Macaca fascicularis: one gene and its partners. The protein of the gene in region 1 interacts with the protein of each later gene in a pairwise test. Links are inferred from orthologs where the notes say so. Each region holds a gene or a part of one and is shown in the gene's direction. Other genes may lie near its edges.

Region 1 (5,374 bases):
GGTCATGATCCTCTCTTCAGGTGGCCATTGCGGGTACACGATTGGTTTCCTGCACTGACTGCTCTTGTCATGAGACCAAACTTCCTTTCCATCACTCCCCACACACCTGATCATTGTGAACAAACCGCTGAGAGAACAAGGTAAGGCAGAAGGAACAGAAGCTGGAGAGAGTGACAGGGATAGCCACCAGCCAGATTCTGTGACTCTTCATTCATCTCCCCACTCCAGTCCCAGATTGAAGAGTAATCTTCATGATCTCCCTGATGGCAAAATGCTAGAAAGACTTACCGAGGGGCCTGAAGATGCCTTCAGTTCTCCAGGTCCTGAACTCTGTTCCAGTTACAGAAGGCCTGGCAATCCCTAGGTTTCCTGGGCATTCCTTTGTTACTGAGCTCCTCTGGGATTTCCATTTTCCTCATTTTCATCTGACTAAATCTAACTACATCTAACTACCTCTGCTAACCAGATATTTGTTCACAGTCGACAGAGTTTCTGAAAATGCAATGTAATTATCTTGCAGATGACTACAATTGTAGCAAAATAACTAAGATACAACTGGCTATATGAAAAAAAAAAAGACAAAATATTACTTAGGATTTTCATACCTTTTATGGTTTATCTCCCCTTTTGGCCTGTAAACTTCATGAAGGTAATGGTTATGTATGATTCCCGAGTAACCACAGTTCCCAGAACGATCTTGAGTATAGAATGTTCCCAATAAATATCCACTGGAAAATGCACACTATTTTTGTTGAAGGAATGGTGGAATTAGCATCAAAGGGATCTTCAACATTAACTCTATGGCTAGCAATTCTTTGTTTTTTTTTTTTTTTTTTTTTTTTTTTTTTGAGACGGAGTCTTGCTCTGTCGCCCAGGCTGGAGTGCAGTGGCCAGATCTCAGCTCACTGCAAGCTCCGCCTCCCGGGTTTACGCCATTCTCCTGCCTCAGCCTCCGGAGTAGCTGGGACTACAGGCGCCCGCCACCTCGCCCGGCTCGTTTTTCGTATTTTTTAGTAGAGACAGGGTTTCACTGTGTTAGCCAGGATGGTCTCGATCTCCTGACCTCGTGATCCGCCCGTCTCGGCCTCCCAAAGTGCTAGGATTACAGGCTTGAGCCACCGCGCCCGGCCTATGGCTAGCAATTCTAAGCGTTTTATAGTACATCACAAAATGTTCTTTCTTTTTCTAAATTGCACTGAATCAACAAACGGAGTAGACAGGCACATTTTCTTCACTTTAAGGAAAGACATTATTTTTTAGCTAGGGGCCGACCCAAAGTGACCACTGGCTTTCACATGAGACCCAGGAGCCTCCCCAGTTTGAAGCCCAATATCACATTTCCCAGAATACTTGATGCCCTCGCCCGCCTCCTCTGGCTATCAACCAGACGGAAAGGGGATGCGCCTGGGAGTTTGATGCCAAGGGAAGGATACGGAATGTCTGTTTTCTCCTAAGGGCGTCTGCTGGGCCTTTCTTATGTCCAGTTTGAGTTGGTCTGGGACCCGGCCTCCGCAAACACTCTGCAGGCTCCGGCCGCCGGGTGTGAGGTGGAAGACTGGGCAGAAGAGAGGCTGCAAAGGCCAGAGGGCTGAGCTGCTCTGCGCTGGGGAGGGGCGAGGTGCCAGAGCGCGGGAGACCTCACGTTGGGCACCAGGCTGCTCCGCGGTAGGTGGGTGAGGCCAGGAGATTCACATCAGCAGATGCCACACTGAGGGTACGGCATTTAGATCCCTAGGCTCCAAACAGGCGGTTCCTGGGGGCCGGTAGCTGGGGAATTGGGTTTAGCACTTTTCAACGCTTGGAACTGGATATGCAAGGCTCCGAGTCCTTTGAGGTCTTGCTCGGGACTACGTTTCCCAGAAGGCTAGGCGGTAATTGATAGCTCTGTCAGCCTATGGACAGAGAAACATTCTAGCCATGGAAACTAAAAAGCCAATAGCAAGAGGACAGGGGCGGTACTTTCCGGCTGCGAGCTGTCGAAGCCTGAGTCCCACCTGTGTCCCCACAGCCCTGTCACGAATCCCGGTCGGGTTCTGGGAGGGACCGCCTCGGGGTTGCGGGCCGGGTGCGGCTCGGCGGTGGAGGACTCACTTCCTGCTCCATCCCCAGCTGGGCCCTGGGGCGGTGAGTGATCCAAGGAGGGAGACTGCGGCGGCAGCGGCGCGCTGCTGAGAGGCGTGGAGGGGGCTCGCCCGCCACCCAGACGTTTTCTCAGAGGGGTTCCCACGCTGGCCTTTGGGAGCCCCCGGGTCTTGCTGGGGTGTGGGAGAGGTAGCTGTGGTCTCTATACCGTCGTCGAGATAAGTCATTCTCTTAATCAGTTTTCTTGCTTCTTGATGGTGGTCCCCGGGTTTCAGCTGATCTGCCACCCTCTGACCGCCGCACCCTGGTTAGGGCCCCAGCACCGAGAAGAAGAACGGGGTTCAGCCCCACGCGTGCAGTCATGTTCCTATTAATAAACCCGGTGAACGCACTGGAGATTCTCACAATGGCACTTAGTCACAGCCCCTCAGAGCTGTAGGGCCTTTGAGGTCATCTGCGCATGGGGAAAGGGACGGGCTGGGAAACAGGGTTTCTATAACCGTGGCTAAGAAGTCTCCAGCAAGGGGGCCCTGCAGCTGTGTTTTGTAATGAATGTAGAAATAAAAATTATACTAAAAGCTCTTTTTTTTTTTTTTTCCTTTTTCTTCTTCTACTTCTTTTTTTTTTTTTTTTTTTTTTTTTTTAGAGGGGATTTCGCTCTTGTTGCCCAGGCTGGAATGCAACGGTGCTATCTCCGTTCACTGTAGTCTTTGCCTCCCGGGTTCAAGCGATTCTCCTGCCGCAGCCTCCCGAGTAGTTGGGATTACAGGTGTGCGCCACCACACCCGGCTAATTTTGTATTCTTAGTAGAGACAGGGTTTCACCATGTTGGCCAGGTTGATCTCGAACTCCTGACCCCAGGTGATCTGCCCATCTCGTTCTCCCAAAGTGCTGGGATTACAGTCATGAGCCACAGCGCCCGACCAATACTGAAAACTGTTATTACCATTTTTACTTTCTAATTACATTATTGTTGTTTGTTAAAGTTTTAAACCAGAGCAATGGTTTTTAGATCCTTAAAAACTCAATACTTTATAAATGACCAATAATAATGTCTGTAAATACATAAATATTTCCCCCAAAAGTGTGTCTGTGTGTGTGTGTGTGTGTGTGTGTGTGTGTGTCTGTGTCTGTATCTGTGTTCCAGTAGTAAATAGGTGCTTTGTAGTGGGACAAAAGATGTGAAAGAGTAAAACTTCTTCACCCTAGTCTGGTCCTTCCTCCCGTGAAATGCAATATTCTTTGTAGTGGGTGGTCATGCTGGCTGAATTTTTTTTTTTTTTTTTAAGGGAGAGACAGGGGCTCACTCTGTTGCTAGGCTGGAGTGCATGGAGTGCAGTGGCGCCATCATAGCTCACTGCAGCCTTGAACTCCTGGGCTGAAGTGATCCTCCCACCTCAGCCTCCTGAGTAGCTGGGACCACAAGTGCATGCCACCATGCCTGGCTGATTTTTAAAAGTTCTTTGTAGAGAAAGGGGTCTCAATATGTTGCTGAGGCTGGTGTATTGGAAAGTTTTTAAGGGAAAAAACATTATCTTAATTTCTTTGTGACTCCTATGCCTGGCAACATATTGATTGTTGAATAAATTACTGATCCATCCAGTAGTTGACTCTGACTATCCTCCAAAAAGTAATGTTTTTCATGATATTGCTGTCAATTTATTAATATATTAATGATTGGTTTCAGCCTCTAAGAGTTGTGTTTTGTGCTTATCCCCATTGACTTTCACTTATTTTTACAACTTATCCATGTCTTTTTTTAAAAAAAAAAAACACATGTCTTTTTCAGTCTTATTTCTGACTCCATTAAGATCTTGAAATAGAGTGGTATCCAACACAGTTCTCTTTGGGGTTCTGCATAATCTGTCCCTTGAGGTTGACCCCAAATCTGCAAGCCAAGAAGTCAGCTGTTCTCATAACTAATATGAGTATAGTTAAGTCCACAATTTCCTTGGTTGCTGAGGAAAATGAAGTTGGGGAGAATCAAAAGCTTTCCAGAAATCAAATTGTACCTACCAACTCTCTCCTTTGTTTACCTTGTTCATCGTGGACAATTTTTTCCTCAAAAAGTTAATGTATCTAAAAGACTGGGTTCTGTCCATGTGTTTGGGAGGCCTAGGCCTCTCTTAGTAATGGGAAAGTTGGCCAGGAGAAGATGTATGTAAAAACAGACTAAGAAAAGCAACCCTCTGTGGTTGACAGAATTTACCTCAGGACCATTCTGATCAGGTGTGGGGGGTTGTTTGTGTACACTGATGGCCATTTTTTGGCTTTCAGACAATGGTGAGAATACCTAGGGAGCTACTGATGCATATCGAGGTCTCTTGCTTTAGGAACTGATGACCCTTGATAATGTGGCTGAGGACTTCAGGGAAGAGTGGGTTACCTGGACACTGCTTAGAGAATCCTCTTCAGGAATGCCACCCAGCACAGTTAGAAGAATGGGCTATCAAAGGGTAAGAATGCTACTCTCCTTTATTTTATTTATTTATCTTGTTTTTTTGAGATGGGGTCTCGCTCTGTCATCCAGGCTGGAGTGCAGTGGCGTGATCTCGATTCACTGCAACCCTTGCCTCCTGGGCTCAAGCAATTCTCCCACCTCAACCTCCTGAGTAGCTGGGATCACAGGCATGTGCCACCATGCCCAGCTAGTTTTTGGTGTTTTTAGTAGAGACAGGATTTTGCTATGTTGGCCAGGCTGGTCTCAAACTCCTGAGCTCAAGCAATCCACTGCTTCCACCTTCCAAAGTGCTGGGATTATGGGTGCCACCATGCCTGGCCACTACTCTCCTTTAATTTGAGACTTAGATAAAGGGCCCAGGTCTGAGTAGTCTCTGGTATGTTGGTGTCTTAGAGCTCCAGACCTCTGTAAGATTAATTGTTGCCTCCTTGGCAGAAAAAGAATTACGTCTTTATGCATTTTATGGTTTGTAAATATCTTTGCTATTTATTGTCTTTTTAATATCTCATCATAACTTTTTGATATATGTATTACTGTCCCCCTTTTCCAGCCTGGGTTGAACTCTCACCTCTGCCACTTAACTTTTGAGACTTCTGAGGTCTTTGTGGAAAAGGAGGTAATTTTTTCTGTCACTTAAAAACAGGCTGGGTGCAGTGGCTCACACCTGTAATCCCAGCACTTTGATAGGCCGAGGTGGGTGGATCACAAGGTCAGGAGTTCAAGACCAGCCTGGCCAACATGATGAAACCCCATCTCTACTAAAAATATAAAAATCAGCTGCGTGTGGTAGCAGGCGCCTGTAATCCCAGTTACTCTGGAGACTGAGCAGGA
Region 2 (5,064 bases), about 94 Mb from region 1:
GCCCAGGAGGAGGCAATGTGGGCAGAGCCCTGCCTGTACCCCAGGTTCCACATCCCCCAATGGTGTTTGTCCCCTTGGGGACTGGGGAGGGAAGGGACACTGGAGCTGGCAGGCTGGGCCCACACTACCTCTCATGGGCTGCCTCCACTGCTGTGTGCTGTGCTGCCTGAATGGTGTCAGAACCTGAGAGGCCAGAGTGGAGGTCAGAGAAGCTGTTCTGACTCCTGCTGGGGAAACCAGGGCTCCCTGAGCAAAGAGGCTGGTCCGGGGGTGCACACCAGGGACTGGGTTTGGAAGAAGTCTGTTCACGCTTCGAAGGACGGGGAGAGCCCAGTCCTGAGCTGCTACCTCTCATTTTGTCTTGACTGTGGCCGCGTGCACTTGGAGGCACCTCCCTCTGTCCATTGGTTACCCAATCATGTCCCTGGGACCTGAGAGTGAGCAGAGACCGGACCTGAGAGTGAGCAGAGACCGGACCTGAGAGTGAGCAGAGACAGGACTTTGCTTGACACTAAATGGCTCCAGTCAGCTGCTGGTTCTTTTTCTTGTCTCCTTTTTATCTGGGTTTTCCCTCTTGCCTTGCTATCAGCGCCTTTTTTCAGCACTGACACTGCCTGAATGTAGCAACCTACTCCCCAGATTAAATGAGAGAGTGTAGAAACTGCAAAGCATACAACATACAGCATATAAGGATGGTGGTGATGGTAGCACAACAGTGGGAATTCAATGTCCCCAAACTGTACACTTTAAAAGTGGTTCAAATGGTAAATGTTATGTTTTCCATGTTTTCTGCAATTAAAAAACAAAAATGTACAAGGTACTCATTGGCAGCATCTTCTAATCTGCCATGTACTTGGAAATGATATAAGCATGTGTGAACCATGAGCCCATAGGTCCAGACAGAGGATATGAGCAAAGCACACGGGCTTTGTCAGCTCTGTTTCCACCATGCAGGACCCTCCCCGGCTGCCAGTGCTCCTCCCGGGGTTCCCACGCTGGCTGCTGCTGGCCTGGCTGGGATGGAAGACCCTCATGTAGCTGGCACCCTCAGGGCTGCCCCTTGCCCGCTCTGGGAGGAAAGCGGAGGATTCACACTGTACCTTTACCAGGGCGGGACTGAGCCAGCCTGGGCTCTACCCGGGCAGGTCGGTGGGATGCTTCAGACTAGGGGGAGAGGCAGGGGGCAACACTGGTCCTCCTGAAGCCACCTTTCCTTCCTGAGAGCTCCCTGGGGAGAAAGAAGGCCCTGAGAGCCACCGACTGGGGGCTGGGGCAGAGCAGGGGCAGCTTGGCCAGGCGGCACCCTTGGGAACCAGGGTTTCCTCATCTGTAAAATGTGACTCTGCGAGGGCAGGAGCTTGGTTTCTCTGGCTGCTGTACCCCCTGGGGCCTAGAACGAGGCTGGTTGGTACACAGAAGGCGTCTAATAAATGTTGAGGGATTGAATGGATGGACCGATGAAAAGGTTGGGCAGGTTGTTACTGACGGCCTCTGGGTTTCAAGGGCCCATTCACTCTGTCACTCACCTTCGCGCCCGTGCATTAGTTCCCTCATTTATTCATTCCTCCCGCAGGCTCTACCGCACTCATTCATTCATGCACTCTGCCATTCATGCACGCGCGGGTTCATTCATTCCCTGCCCCTCTGCCATTCCTCGCCCGCCCCCCGCGCACGCCGCACCCCCGCGCCCCTGCCCGGCCCTGCGCCCACCACGTGCGCCCCGGCCGAGCGCTGCGGGGGGGAAGTGCGGGCTCAGCCGCGGCTGCGCGGGGCCGGGGCTGGCGGGGAGCCGGGCTGGGGGCGGGGGGCGGGCGCTCCCTGCGGGAAGCCGGGCGGGGTGGGGGAGCCCCGGCCGCGCCGGCTCCCGGCGCGCTCGGCCTCGGAGGGGAGGGGGCGGCGGTAGCGGCGGCGGCGGCGGGACCCGAGCGCGGCGGCGGCGGTGAGCGGCGCGGCTGCCCCGGGGCCATGTGGACAGGCGGTCGCCGGCCGGGCCGGCTGCGCCGGGCGGTGAGTACCTGCGAGCCGGGAGGGCAGGGCGCGGGCGCGGGCGCGGAGGCGGGGCGGGCGCCACCCACGCCTGGGGCGGTCCCTGCTCGGCGCCGGAGGTGGCCGGCTCCCCGCCCTGCTCCCCTCCGCGCGGCGCCCCCGCCGTGGCGGCTTCACTGGCCCGGGAGGAGCCGGGCCGGGTCTCCTGGGAACTGGGCACTCTCGGGTGGGGCGGGGATGCCCGGCCTCCGCGCGCCGCCGCGAGCGCCCGGGTCCGATCGCGGGGTCCTTGCGCCCTGACACGCGCGCCCCTGCGGCGGGAGGAAGGGAGGGGCTGGGGACCCAGGGCGCGGCTGGAGGACTGGGGACGCGCCGCTGTCCCAGGCGGGTGGCGAGGGTGCGGGCAGGCCTGGACCCGCCTGCGTCAGGGGGCAGGGCCAGCCCCTGCTCGGGAGGCCGGAGAAAGGCCCGGGAGCCGGAAGGAGGCTGGACCCGGGGCCGCCTCATTGAGCGTTTGCAGCGCGTGGGCGCGCACGAGCCTCGGACACCACCATCCCATTCAGTGCCTCGCGGCAGGTACTATCCTCCTGCCCCTTTACAGGCGAGGAAACTGAGGCTCAGGGAGGCCAGGGCCTCGCCCAGAGCGGCTCAGCCAGCGCGCTCACCCTCCCTGAGCCCCAGCACGTTGGATGGGAATTTCTGCCCCAGCGTTTCCGCTTCCTGCTTGGTTTAGAGGTGTTTCCTTCCTCATCTGTGCCCCACCCCATCCCCAATGTGGTTTCCTCAGGGCAGGAACAGCGTGGGCGACACGCTGGAGTCTCCTGAGCAGGCAGAATGGGAGCAGAGTGGGCACCCGGGAGCGGGCCGGATGGGTAGGGAGCATTGCACGTGCAGAGTCCGCATGGCCAAGGTCGGGCCAGTGCAGATTGGGGGTCCAGTCCTGGGGGTATGGGTGGGGCGGGGTCTCCACGGCCACGCTCCGTCGGAGGCCCCAGTGCTCTGGCTCTCTGGAGGCCATGGACAGGTCCTTTTCCTTCTCTGGGCCCCAGTTCCTCTGCCTGTCAAGAGCCGCAGCGACCCCCACCACTCCCAGGGCCAGGCTCCCACGAGGACTGTGGGCAAAAGCCCCTAACAAACTGTGGTGTGCAGCCCTGCCAGGCTGGGCTTGGTCTTGCCAACCGAGGCAAGTGGCCGTTGGGGGTGGCTCTGCCTGGCATCTGTGACACGAAGGGCGGGGAGACGGCAACAAGGGCCCCAGCAGCATCCTGCAAACCCTTAATTTTCCCGACTCTCACTATAATCAGGGCGGCTTGGAAAAGCAAGCACCGTGGCAGATGCGGCTCTGCCTGGGCTCGGAACGCGGGCTCGGGGCGATGGGCGGCTGCGCTGCTGCCCAGGGCCCTCCCCAGCTTTTGTCTCATATTTATAGATTCCTACGCTCCGCGTTCCGTTTGTCGTCAAAACCTGGAACTGTTCGCACCTGGGAGCTGAGTGGGGAGGAGGGCTGCCTAGGACCTCAGCTTGGAGGATGAGTTTTCCATGGGCTGGAGTGGAGTGGGGGGACACCTGTCAGATCCCAGGGCCGGGGAGAGGAAATGAGCCCTAAGCAATCTGGATGATCTTCCATCCACTCTCCCAAGACTAGGGCACAGGGTCTGGCCCACATAGCTGCCATTTATGGAACGCCTGCTATGTGCTGGGCCCTGGATCAGCATTTCCACGCATCATCTCCACGGCAACACTTTGAAGGAGCTTCCCTACTCCTGCAGGCACTCCTGATGTTGAAGAGTGGATGGATGGATAGACGGATGGATGGATGGATGGATGGATGGATGGATGGAAGGGATGGATGAATGGTTGGATGAGAGGGAGGGAGGGAGGGATGGATGGATGGATGGATGGGAGAGAGGGATGGATGGATGGATGGATGGATGGATGGATGGATGGATGGTTGGATGAGAGGGAGGGAGGGAGGGATGGATGGATGGATGGGAGAGAGGGATGGATGGATGGGTGGATGGATGGATGAGAGAGAGGGAGGGATGGATGGGAGGGAGGGATGGATGGATGGAAGGGAGGGATGGATGGATGGATGGATGGATGGGAGGGAGGGATGGATGGATGGATGGATGGAAGGGAGGGATGGGAGGGACTGGCTGCAGCCCATGAGTCCATGACTATTGAACATAGTCCACAAATCATTACCCAGGGTCAGAGGAGGTGGGGCCCAAGGGCTGAGTAGTTGCTGAACAGATGAAGGGGTCAAGGCGTGTTACCAGAGCTTGGCCCAAGGCCTGAAAGTGATGGGGAGAGTGTAGAGTGTTCAAGTCTCAAGACTTAGAGAGGCTGTGCCCTGCTGGAGTGTGGAGGCCATGGTGGTGGGGAGGTGTGGCTGCTCCCCCTAAGGGAGGTAAGGATCCCTGGGACAGATCGGAAGGTGACCCTAGGACTTGCCATGTTGGTCTAGAATCACCCCGCAGGGTTCTCTCCTGGCTCCCCCTCCTGCCGAGAGCTGGTCACTAGCCTTAGTGGAGAGTCCTGGACGGAGGTCTGCAGCCCTGGGTTCTGGTTCTTCCTCTGCCGCTGACTCACCGTCTCCTCTCTAGGGCTCCGTATCAGAATCTTAACACCCATTACAGTCAGGGGAGTGACTACTGTGTCCTAAGAGCGGCACCAGATTGTGGCCTGTGGTGGGAGAAGCTGGCCAGAGGTGTCTCTATTGCTTTAATCATTATAGGAGTGAATGAATGATGAATAAGTGGATGAATTCTACACTCACCTAACATGCTGTCCCTAAGCACCCACTCTTCCCTCCTCATTGGGGTCGCTTAGGTGAGTCTGACACAGACCTTGCCCTCCATGAGTCCACAGTCTGCTGGGAGATGGACCCTGGCCAGTGTGGCAGGAGTCAGGAGATGCTGGGGCTCTTCTCTCCCCTCTAGCTAGGAAGGGAATTCAAAAGTGGCCCTTGCCTCAGCAGGCCATGAGTCTGTAGGACAGTACAACAGCCTCTGGGGTCTGCCTGGGGTGGGGATCAGCCAGGGCCCAGCTCTGAGCCATGTGGGGGAATTGTAATTG
Region 3 (5,065 bases), on another chromosome or scaffold:
AGTGAGTCGTGGTTGTACCACTGTACTCCAGCCAGGGTGACAGTGAGACCCTGTCTCAAAAGACAAAAAAAAAAAGAACATATCCTGGTAATATCCTGGTATGGAGTAGGGGACATTGCTCTCACAGGCTTGGGAGCCTGAGCTGGCTCTGTGAGCTGGGGAGGAGGCAGACAGCCAGGCCTTGTCTGCAAGCAAACCTGGCAGTGCTGGGCTGGCGGCCCCCCAGGGCCTCCTCTTCATGCCCAGTGAATGACTCACCTTGGCACAGACACAATGGTCAGAGTGGGCACACTGCCTGCTTCCCGCCGCACCCCAGTCCCCCTCAAATGCCTTCCGAGAAGCCCATTGAGCAGGGGGCTTGCATTGCACCCCAGCCTGACAGCCTGGCATCTTGGGATAAAAGCAGCACAGCCCCCTAGGGGCTGCCCTTGCTGTGTGGCGCCACTGGCGGTGGAGAACAAGGCTCTATTCAGCAAGTGCCCGGGAAAGGGGATCAGGGGAGGCCCAGGCATGGACAGTGGGTGGCAGGCGGGAAGAGGAGGGCTGTCTGCTTCCCAGAAGTCCAAGTACACAAATGGGTGAGGGGACTGGGCAGGGTTCTGACCCTGTGGGACCAGAGTGGAGGGCGTAGATGGACCTGAAGTCTCCAGGGACAACAGGGCCCAGGTCTCAGGCTCCCAGTTGGGCCCAATGGCTCCTGCGTTTCCAAACCTATCCATCCCCAGAGGTCCTTCCCATCTCCCCAGGCTGATGTGTGGGAACTCGAGGAAATAAATCTCCAGTGGGAGACGGAGGGATAAAGACTCAAGCCAGCACAGCCAGCTCACGCGTAACTGCTTTGTGGAGCTGTCAAGGCCTGGGCTCTGGGAAAGAGGCACAGGGAGGCCAGGCAAGGAAGGAGTGACCCGGAGGGACAGACCCAGGGGCTAAAGTCCTGATAGGGCAAGAGAGTGCCAGCCCCCTCTTGCTCTATAAGGACCTCCACTGCCACATACAGGCCATGATTGATGCTTAGACAAAGGGCTGGTGTCCAATCCCAGCCCCCAGCCCCAGAACTCCAGGGAATGAATGGGCAGAGAGCAGGAATATGGGACATCTGTGTTCGAGGGGAGGACTCCAGGAGTCCTGGGAATGGGGCCTAGTAGGAAATGATGATATAGGCACCCCTTGAGGGTACTGAACAGGTTTGTTCTTCGCCAAATTCCCAGCACCTTGCAGGTACTTACAGCTGAGTGAGAGAAGGCCTGGGTTATGAAATCAAAAAGTTGGAAAGCAGGTCAGAGGTCATCTGGTACAGCCCTTCCTTCCTTTTTTTTCTTTCTTTCCTCTTGAGACAGGGTCTCTCTCTGTTGCCCAGGCTGGAGTGGCGCAAACACAGCTCACTGCAGCCTCAACCTACTGGGCTCAAGCAATCCTCCAGCCTCAGCCTCCCAAAGTGCTTGGATTACAAGCATGAGCCACCCCACCCAGCCCTTTTCTTCCTTTTTAATTGATGCATAACGATTGTAAGTATTCATCACGGTCCAACCAACCCCTTCTTGACCCACCTTCCTAGAGAGAGGGTCCTCTTGCTTCAATGGTCACGGCCCCAGACCCATGGTCTGGCTCCAGGCACCACCTGCCTCATGCAGGAGCTGGCGTGCCCAGGAAGCTCTGCCTCTGGGCACAGTTACCTCAATGGGGTGAGTGGAGCTCTCCCCATAGCTGGGCTGCGGCCCAACCCCACCCCCTCAGGCTATGCCAGGGGGCGTTGCCAGGGGCAGCCGGGCATCACCAGTCCAGCCCACTCCTTCATAAAGCCCTCGCATCCCAGGAGCGAGCAGAGCCAGGGTAGGATGGAGAGGAGACGCATCACCTCCGCTGCTCGCCGCTCCTACGTCTCTTCGGGGGAGATGATGGTGGGGGGCCTGGCTCCTGGCCGCCGTCTGGGTCCTGGCACCCGCCTCTCCCTGGCTCGAATGCCCCCTCCACTCCCGACCCGGGTGGACTTCTCCCTGGCCGGAGCACTCAATGCTGGCTTCAAGGAGACCCGGGCCAGTGAGCGGGCAGAGATGATGGAGCTCAATGACCGCTTTGCCAGCTACATCGAGAAGGTTCGCTTCCTGGAACAGCAAAACAAGGCGCTGGCTGCTGAGCTGAACCAGCTGCGGGCCAAGGAGCCCACCAAGCTGGCCGACGTCTACCAGGCTGAGCTGCGAGAGCTGCGACTGCGGCTCGATCAACTCACCGCCAACAGTGCCCGGCTGGAGGTCGAGAGGGACAATCTGGCACAGGACCTGGGCACCGTGAGGCAGAAGTGAGGAGGGGATGGGGAAAGGGGGCCTTGTGAGCAGAGGGGGCTGAACCCCCGAGAGAGAGTGCCCGAGAAGTCTCAGGCAAGGGCTGAGCCTCCCTGCTCCCTGGGTCTCCCTACCTCTTGATGGGGCACTATCCTTGCACCCCAACATGATGGCAGGGACCAGAAACAGGCCCAGGACCCCAGGGATCTGATTCCCACATGCCTTCTGCCAGGGAGCCAGGGTCCCCTCAGCACCTCCCCACTGGGGAAAGCAGTGCAGGAGCGGCTGGGCCCCCAGCAGCTGGGCCCTTGCGTTTCATTCATGGCTGGGCTTTGTGACTGTGGGCAGTGAGCTCACCTATTGTGAGCCTGGGTCCATATAAAGGAGGAGTTGGAAGCAGAGAAGGTTGGTGTCCATGAGGGAGATTGGATTCTGGGGTAAAGGAAGTGAGGGAAAGAGCAGGCAAGCCTGGGTGCAGCGCACAGGTGACTGCCTGCCACCAGCTTGTGACCTCCGTCAAGTCACTTTGACTTGCACAGCTGTGAAGCGGAGCTCATAATAAAATTCATTTCAAAAGGTGGTTACCTGGGATCAGAGGAATCCCCAGGGGATGGCGCTTCGCTGAGCTGACAGGACATGCGTGTGTGCCTTCAAGTGCAGGAGGACGTGTGTGTGTGTGTGCGCGCGCAGCAGTGTGTGTACGCTGGTGCATGCGCCTGTGTGAGGAGAAGCAGGTGCGCCAACCCTGATAAGGCACCTTAGTAATGAGTTAAGGCAAAAGCCCACATCTGCTCATCCTCCAGACAAGACCTCTGTCTAAGGCCCCCCAACCCTTACTCCTCCTGCTGCTCTACTGGTCCTGGGTGGGGGTGGTCTCTGTGACAGCTGCCTCCAGGGAGATTGAGGCAGGTAGCCAATGTCCTCAGAAGAGCCTGGACCCAGGAATGTGTCCCCCCACTCCAGGCTCCAGGATGAAACCAACCTGAGGCTGGAAGCCGAGAACAACCTGGCTGCCTATAGACAGGTCAGGGAGGTGGAGGGGAGGGGCAGGGGAGGGAGGCAAGGGTTCATGGCCACTCACCCAAACACAGCCCCCAAGCTCAGCCCTCCAGAGCAATGTGCTGCTCCCCACTGACCCAGAAGGAGGGGTAAGGGAAGGCTGAGCAATGGGGAGGAGGAGCCTGGGGCCCGAGTGGCCCTCTACTCCTTACCCCTCCTGCCACTCCAGGAAGCAGATGAAGCCACCCTGGCCCGTCTGGATCTGGAGAGGAAGATTGAGTCACTGGAGGAGGAGATCCGGTTCTTGAGGAAGATCCACGAGGAGGTGAGGCCAGGGCAGAGGAAGAAAAGCTCAACACAGAGACTGCAACTGAGAGAGGGAGGGACAGAGACAGAGGCTGTCCTGTGTCCAAGGCTTAACAGGCTTACTCCCCATCCTCCCAGTCAAGACTGGACTCCTCACCTTCCCCATCTCTTCTGCCTCCTTGGAACTTTTGTCACCACTTTGCCCTCCCTCTTCCATCTGCCTTCAGATAGGCATGCGCCCCTCCCAGATAACACTCAAGCCCCTTGCAGTCTCTGAGAGACACACTCAGAGAGAGGAGAGGAACAGAGATTGGCAGGTAGAGACAGGAAATGAAAGACACAGAGAAAGGCAGTAAGGGAGACAGAAAGAGATGAGAGAACATTCTAGCCCCTGGCCGAAGGGCAGGAAGAAGGGGACACGATGCTGTGAGGAACTGCAGCTGTGGCCTGTACCCTGAGGCCTGGTACCCCTTCTCTCACCCTGGCCAGGAGGTTCGGGAACTCCAGGAGCAGCTGGCCCGACAGCAGGTCCATGTGGAGCTGGACGTGGCCAAGCCAGACCTCACCGCAGCCCTGAAAGAGATCCGCACGCAGTATGAGGCAATGGCGTCCAGCAACATGCATGAAGCTGAGGAGTGGTACCGTTCCAAGGTAGCCCTGCCTGTGGGCCAGCCTGCCTCCTCTAGGCAGCCCTTCTTGCTCCATACAAGAGAATGGGGGAAGGAGGGTGGAAGAAGCTGGGAGAATATCCTCTCCAGGTGACTGACCTTCACCAGAGAAGTGAGATGACTTGCCCAGGGCCACACAGGCACTACTGCTTTCAAAAGTGCCCGTTATTATTACTGCTACTATTGCTATTATTAGTAGTAGCTGATACTGTTCTGTGCTAAGCTCTGTGCTTTTCATGCATTACCTCACTATGAAGTAGGTGCTGTTCTTTGACAGATGAGAGAGCTGAAGTCCAGAGAGGTTAACTAATTTGCTCAAAGTCACACAGCTCCTAAGTGGTAGAGTTGGATTTCCAACTCTAGCCCATCTCACTTGGGAGCCTGCATTCCATGCCTCTGCCAGTCTGTTTTGGGTTACTGAGCCTCTACCGTATGCCAGGCACCCCCTCAGGACACAGAGAGGTGTCTGAGCTGGAAGGTGTGATGTTGACGTGCACCCAAACATAGTGCCGGTAGAGAACACCACAGCTCGGAGCTTATATGTAGTGTGGGAGCCAGGTAAGACGCTGTAGGTGGGGCATTTGGGCTAGGCAGGACAGGCAGGCTGTGGACAGGAAGAGAAGAAGGGAGGGCCATTTCTGGTGGAGGACAGAGCCTGGAGTCAGAAAAGCACAGAGAGGCAGAGCCCGAAGATGCTGGCCTAGCCAGCGCACCTAGCTGAGGAGTGTAAGTAGTAGAAACCACTGGCGTCTGAGCAGGGTGAAGGCCCAATGGAGCTGGGAGGACCTCCCTGCAGTGGGGGGAGAAAGGGCT

What was found.
Region 2: the proteins of ZNF774 (region 1) and BEGAIN interact in binary tests that used the Homo sapiens proteins (3 or more experiments, as listed by UniProt). The two-hybrid records come from large-scale screens. The link is inferred for Macaca fascicularis from reciprocal best matches to the Homo sapiens genes ZNF774 and BEGAIN.
Region 3: the proteins of ZNF774 (region 1) and GFAP interact in a two-hybrid assay, tested with the Homo sapiens proteins (2 studies listed by BioGRID and IntAct). The link is inferred for Macaca fascicularis from reciprocal best matches to the Homo sapiens genes ZNF774 and GFAP.

The regions. Positions count from the first base shown.
Region 1 is NC_088381.1:74,886,083-74,891,456, forward strand, and holds the start of ZNF774 (zinc finger protein 774), read left to right. Parts: upstream 1-1,996; 5' UTR 1,997-2,124; intron 2,125-4,415; 5' UTR 4,416-4,434; coding exon 4,435-4,538; intron 4,539-5,374.
Region 2 is NC_088381.1:168,677,408-168,682,471, reverse strand, and holds the start of BEGAIN (brain-enriched guanylate kinase-associated protein), read left to right. Parts: upstream 1-1,820; 5' UTR 1,821-1,965; coding exon 1,966-2,007; intron 2,008-5,064. UniProt on the Homo sapiens protein: May sustain the structure of the postsynaptic density (PSD).
Region 3 is NC_088390.1:65,968,365-65,973,429, reverse strand, and holds the start of GFAP (glial fibrillary acidic protein), read left to right. Parts: upstream 1-1,821; 5' UTR 1,822-1,835; coding exon 1,836-2,296; intron 2,297-3,242; coding exon 3,243-3,303; intron 3,304-3,507; coding exon 3,508-3,603; intron 3,604-4,073; coding exon 4,074-4,235; intron 4,236-5,065.